Ovis aries: one gene and its partner. The protein of the gene in region 1 purifies or fractionates together with the protein of each later gene. This does not show direct contact. Links are inferred from orthologs where the notes say so. Each region holds a gene or a part of one and is shown in the gene's direction. Other genes may lie near its edges.

Region 1 (3,651 bases):
CCCAGGCCCGCCTCCTCTGAAGTGCTTAATAGTAATAACTGTGGTAACAAGGGCTGTGCTATGCTATATTGAGTGTTTACTCTGCTGTTCAAGTACTTTATAGACCCAGGAGGTGCAGGATGTTTCTGAGAATGAGGTTACTCTCCTTGCAGCAGAGAAGGCCGAGGCACAGAGTGGCTGTCCGCAGTCGGCGGGGTTGGGAGTCAGACCCCGCCCCGTGGCTCCAGAGCTCCTGCTCTGAAGCACCATGCTCTGCAGCCAGCGTCGGTCCTTTCGTGGCCGTGGTCCCTCTCTGTCCTGCTCAGTTGGAGACCGCTCTCTTTCCCCTGACTTCCTTCTTGCCGCAGGTGTGCCGTTTCCTCTGAGGCATGAACTGCTGTTTTGAGAAACCTGGGTGCTGGCTCTGGGGAGGTGGCCTCTCCCCTGGGGGCAGGGCGGTCATTGCTCTGACCGTTGAAGGATCTCTCTTCCCAGGACCTCACGCCAGGCAGTGTGGAGGAGGCGGAGGAGGCCGAGCCCGACGAGGAGTTTAAAGATGCGATTGAGGTGGGTGGCCTTCCCCAGCACCCCCAGCTGACCAGGTCAGAAGTTGGGTGGTCCTGGAGCCATGTGGCCTCTCTCATTCCAAGTCTGGGTTTTTAGAGTTCTCTTGTATCCAAGTGAGAGGGTGAAATGTACCCTGCGCTCAGACTCACTGGTTGAAAGGATGCCACTGAACCTCTGCCCGTCCTCTTGCTGACCTTGGCGTCTGTCCTGGGTGCCCAGGGAGGGGGTGGCTCTGGAGGCCTCTGGGAAACGCCCTGCTAGGGAGGTGGGTCGTTTACTGCCTTGACTGGAGACTGTGGGCCTGGCACCTTTGATGTGGGGAAGGCAGAGTTGGAGGAGGGCATCGTCCCGGACTCTGCCTGCTCTTCTAAACGATGAGGTCCGTCAGATGTCCCTTTGAGGGGTGAGAATGGGAGGCTGGAGAAAGCAGTTGCATGGCCAAGTGCTGGGTTGGAGAAAGTTCAACAGTCTGCCTGGTTTTAGGACAATGGTTCACACTGGTAGTTTGCAGAAGTGTTTTATTTGGCATGCAAAGCTTTAATTTTTTAGCCGATATTTAAAAATTGGAGAGACTATAGTAAAAACTCTGGATTTTTCAGTTTTTCTAAAAACTCAGCAGCTCTGGGAGCCCTGAGTCTGCAGCGGTCAGTGTAGCTGAGGAGAGACTGTCTGCTTCAGAGAAGTCACACTACCCCACCAGTTCCTGTCATCCCCGGCCACTGAGTCCTGGCGGCGTTTGCCATTTAGTGTCATGTTTGCTCTATGGCTTTTCTTAAACAGTAGGAGTTCACTTCTTTTTATGACTCTTGTAAAGTGGGGGATACAGGAAATGGAGGTCTCGGGAGTTTGCTCCAGGCCTACGGTTTTCACCCAGCTGTCTGCTGTTACTGTAGCCACATCTGCGTGGACGTTTCCATTTTCTACTGCTGAGGTTTCTCCAAAACCTGAATGTGCGACTGTGGACTCCTAAGTCATGACTCTTGAGTACGCAGCTTCTCCCCAGCTGACTGATGTTGGGATCCTTGACGGGGTCTCTGTTAACATCGCCCTTCAGTACGTGCCCAGAGTCAGTGTAGTAGCATTCCTGTGCTTCCTCTCGCTTGGGGATCCCCTCCCGGCAGCTTCCTTCTTGCTATCTTCTCTCTGTTTTCTTTTCTTCTCCCCCGGCACCTTGGGAGGCAGGAGACCCACTTGGTGGTGCTGGTAAGTAGGAGCCTTGGTGAGGTAGGCAGGGGCCGAGGGGGTTGAGGATGGGTGGCTGAGCCAAGGTCGCTATGCCTCGCGGGGTTCGCCACACATGCAGGTCCCAGAGCCCTGTCACGAGGGGACAGGACTGGAAGGAGCTGTTCCCGCAGGAGGATGACGAGGGGGCCCCGTGCCCGGCAGAGGACGAGCTGGTCCTGCAGGACAACGGCTTCCTGAGCAAGAACGAGGTGCTGCGCAGCAAGGTGTCGCGGCTCACTGAGCGGCTCCGCAAGCGGTACCCGACCAACAACTTTGGTATGGCTGGGGGCTGGCGGGTTGGAGGTATCCTGGCCACGGGGCAGAGGTGCTGTGTTCTGAGGAGCAGAGCTGTGTCCATGGCACCCTAGGGAGGTGGCACAGGCACAGCGGGGCTGCGAGGGAGGGAGTGTGGGCTCCTTCTTGTGTCTCTGTCCTCATTACTTCTTGTGGGAAGATGAGTTCAGTTCTGGAAGCGCTCCTCTGGGACCACAGGGCAGTGTGGTCTTGAGGCAGGCAGAGCCACGGCGGGCTGTGGAGCGTGCTGGTTGAGTGAGGAGTCTGAGTGTCTAGGTGAACCCCAGTGCTGCCAGGTGGCCTTAAGCAAATTATTTAACTTCCCCCTGCCTCAGCTTTCCTGCTGTAAAAGGGGACTGACGCTGAAGCTCCAATACTTTGGCCACCTGATGCAAAGAGCCGACTTATTAGAAAAGACCCTGATGCTGGAAAAGGTTGAAGGCAAAAGAAGGGGGTGGCAGGGAATGAGATGGTTGGATGGCATCACCAACTTAGTGGACGTGAATGTTAGCAAACTCTGGGAAATGGTGAAGGACGGGGAAGTCTGGTATGCTGTAGTCCATGGGGTTGCAGAGAGTCAGATGCGACTGAGCGAATAAACAATGACTGAAAAGAATAGTACAAGTTCCTGTCTCACAGGGTTGCTGTAGGTCTCAAAAGAGAGAATGCTTATGAAGTGCTGGCACATTGCTGGCTGGTTCATAGTAAGGGCTTCATAAGGGGCGCTGTTATCACGGGAGGCCCTGGTCTTCCCCTCAGGTGCCTAGGCACTTGTCTGGATCTTCCCAGTCCGATTGGAAGCAAATGGAAGGAAACACTGTCTTCTGGGGATGATAGAGCCCCGGCTCCCCTTCTCCCCAGCCAAGTCCGTAGATTGGCCAGTCCTCATTATACTGACCTTATACACACCAAGAGTGTGACCTTGGAGAAGCGTGGACTTGATTGTCCTCACAGTTTGGAGGGACTTCCCTGGTGGCACAGATGGTGAAGAATCTGTCTGCAATGCAGGAGACCCAGGTTTGAGAGTCCCCTGGAGATGGAAGTGGCAACCCACTCCAAGATTCTTGCCTGGGAAATCCTGTGGACAGAGGAGCCAGGAGGGCTCTGGTCCATGAAGTTGCAAAGAATCAGACATAACTGAGCTGATTAACCAGCTTGGAAGCCTGGCTCTGATCAGGAGAGCGGGAGCCAAGCCGGATGAAGCTATAGCTGGAGCCTGGAGAACCGGAGGCTCAGGGCTCTCCCTGGTCCTGGAGCAGAGCCTGGCTTCTGCCTGTTGTCAGCAGACAGGGACTGGAGCCTGGAGAACTGGAGGCTCAGGGCTCTCCCTGGTCCTGGAGCAGAGCCTGGCTTCTGCCTGCTGTCAGCAGACAGGGAGGAGGGTGGGCTGGCTGTGCCATGAGATCTGGTGGGAGAGAGTCCTGAGGAAGCCCGTGGGGTTTATCGTGAGGTATTTAACCTGGGCGCTCCAGGGCCTGCCTTCCTGCTCCCGCAGCGACCAGGGCAGTTGTTTCCTGAGCGGTAGACATCCTGGGACACCCTGTTTCTTTCTGCTCTGCAAATGCCTCCAGGCCTTCAGGATCCCTT
Region 2 (2,697 bases), on another chromosome or scaffold:
TGACATCATGTCGTTTAGAATGACACTTAAAAGATGTACATATAAATGAATAAAGAAAGATTTAAAAGTTACATGTATGCTGAGTTTATAAAACATGCATATGAAAGAATATTGGAAGATAATATGGGAATAATAGTTATGTTGAATTAATGAGAGAATGGGAGGTAATTTCCTCTCTCATATTCTCAATTTTCTAGAATTTCAAAAATTTGTTCAAAAATAAAAAGCCATTTGGGAAGAATTTGATGAGTCCTCGTGCTCATTTTGTCTTTGCTTGGTTGACCTTTTGTATCTCCTCTTAATTTCTTAGTCAGTTTTCTGGCACGAGGGTGATACTCTTTCCCCAGACCGGGAGTGTGCAGAGTTGTGGTATTGTGGACCGTTTGTCTTCACGAAGGAAAGAAGGCCGTGTGCCATCCTGGTTCCCAGACGCTGGGCTGCTTCTAGGTGGAAAGTGAGAAGTCACTTGGGAAGCCGTGCCGAAGTGAACTCTAGTGACTGTGAAGGAAAGGAAGAGAGAAGCTATTGGTGGAGGGTACCAGCATCTGAAACAGGATTTTTAGCAGACCTGAGGGGCTTGGCTGGGAAGGAAGAGAGGGGAGAAGGAGGCTCGCACGGAAGCAGAGAGGATCATGAAGCAAGCTTCTTGTACCCGGCCTGGCGGGGATGCTTTGGAGAGAGATGGGGATCTGAGTGTTGACTGGGACCTCAGTATGATCAGTGGTGTTCATTTTTACATGGATCTAGACATAGCAATCAGAGCACAACCCCTTCATAGGAAGTACATCTTGTCCCCATTTGTACTCAGTGTGAATTCCAGAACTGGGATGCTGTGGCAGGTGTTGACTGTAATTAAATCCTCTGATGAGTACTGTGGAACCTGCCATAAAGTTGATTTTGAAAATGTTTTTGGTAGAATTTTATATCTGAAGCAGTTTATACCTTGCTATCTGAAAAGTTAAATTTTTAGCAAGTAAAATTTTAATTGAAGACAAGACTTGCTGTGCTAGTCCTGTTGGGGTGCTTGAAGGTGGAGAGGAGGTTCAGGGCACCTGGGGGCCCGCCGGGTCACATGGGTCAATGCTGGCCGGACTTAAGACATGGGGCTTGTAATTTAAAGTGCCAGAGCACCACGTTGGCTCTGCACTGAATTTCATGACTGACAGCAGGGAGTGTTACTTCATAAACGGGGGGGTCACTCATGTTTGAGCGCAGTTGTCAGGTGGACTCTCCCTGCCTGCTTTTTCCCCATGACATGTGTTTGTGCTCATTATCTCCCCTTCAGGCTCCAGGTCCTCCAATGACTTTTCTGTGAACAGAACTTGGGTTTTCTCTCATGCATTTCTCTTAGGTGGTCTGATTTCATTTGAGTGGTTTCGACCGTGTCCCCCTGCCCTCCGGCACCTTGCTTGGGCTGCAGAATCAGCACTGACTGTGAACTTTATGGATCCGGGCAGGCATCCCTCAGTGTCCTTGTTGAGTGACCACTGGCTGGGGTGCTGGGTTTTAGGGGTGAACGCACAGACGAGTGACTCTTGCTCTCCCAGACTTTGAGGTGTTGTAGGGAAGAATCTTGGAGGACGATGTGAGCTGCATGCTCGCTGCTCTGGGGTGGGAGGTGGATGCAGAGCAGGGAACCATGTGTTCGGACCTTGGTGACCACTCATGCTCACTGTTGTCCTGTAGAGCTGGTCACTGGGGACCAGATGTTGGACATTTTAAAAACTTTAATAATGAAATTGAAACCTGTCAGAACTTTCTGTGTAAATAATTTCTTGGACAGGGATGTGGAGTTTTAAGTTTTGTTTAAAACTATTAAGGAGAGTTGTCAGTTGACGAACTCCCTGCCTGCTACCTTTGTGATGCAGAACGACATGGAACCCAGCAAAGCCATTCCGCTGAACGCTGCGAAGCAGGACGGGCCCGCGCCAAAGCCGCACAGTGTCTCCCTCAGTGACACCGAGACGAGGAAGCTCGTGGAGGAGTGCAAGCGGCTGCAGGGGGAGATGATGAAGCTGTCAGAAGAGAACCGACTCCTGAGGGTGAGTGCCCGCCTGGCCCCACTGTGCAGCGGCCTCGGCGCCCCTCTCGCCCTTGGCCTGGACGCTGGGGGCTGGCGTGCCCTGGCTGCTTCCTCACTCGCTGGTGCAGCCTCCGCGCCCGGGCCTGGCATTATCGGCTGCAGCAGCAGTGCAGTCCCTGCGAGGGGGCCCCCGTTGTCCAGGGCGGGCCACCAAGGTGTGCTTAGTCAGAATTAAGATGTGCTGTGAGTCACATAGTGCAAGAAAAATCCCTGTTTTGTATTGTTATGTTGAAATAATATTGAATTCTATTAGATTCAGTAAAAGATACATTATTAAAGCTAATTTTATCAAGTTTAGTACCTTTTTAATGGGCTTAGAAAATTTTAAATTTCGTGCATGGCTCCCATTGAAGGCCCCTGTGAGGTGGCTTGACCTGTGCTGAGATGGTTTTTCTGGCTGTTTCTTCCTCTCCCAAGCCCCTCTCCAAGGCCCCTGCCCTGAACACCTACCTGGAGGGTGGAGAGATGCCCTCTGTTTCACAACCACACACAGCTCCATCCAGTTGTAAGGGGGCTGCTGTTTGCCCTTTTCCTTTACCTGCCATGACCTCAGTTCTGTGTTTGGTGGACGGTGTGCTCCCTGGCTGCTGAGCCCAGGTGTTCAGAGAGCTGAG

What was found. The genes of interacting proteins can lie anywhere in the genome.
Region 2: the proteins of ZFYVE27 (region 1) and VAPA purify together in Homo sapiens (co-immunoprecipitation; 3 studies listed by BioGRID and IntAct, counting the BioPlex papers as one, with this or other methods). This does not show direct contact. The link is inferred for Ovis aries from reciprocal best matches to the Homo sapiens genes ZFYVE27 and VAPA.

What each region holds. Positions count from the first base shown.
Region 1 is NC_056075.1:18,731,661-18,735,311, forward strand, and holds part of ZFYVE27 (protrudin), read left to right. Parts: intron 1-474; coding exon 475-546; intron 547-1,728; coding exon 1,729-1,749; intron 1,750-1,901; coding exon 1,902-2,046; intron 2,047-3,651. UniProt on the Homo sapiens protein: Key regulator of RAB11-dependent vesicular trafficking during neurite extension through polarized membrane transport. Promotes axonal elongation and contributes to the establishment of neuronal cell polarity.
Region 2 is NC_056076.1:42,439,868-42,442,564, forward strand, and holds part of VAPA (vesicle-associated membrane protein-associated protein A), read left to right. Parts: intron 1-1,868; coding exon 1,869-2,042; intron 2,043-2,697. UniProt on the Homo sapiens protein: Endoplasmic reticulum (ER)-anchored protein that mediates the formation of contact sites between the ER and endosomes via interaction with FFAT motif-containing proteins such as STARD3 or WDR44.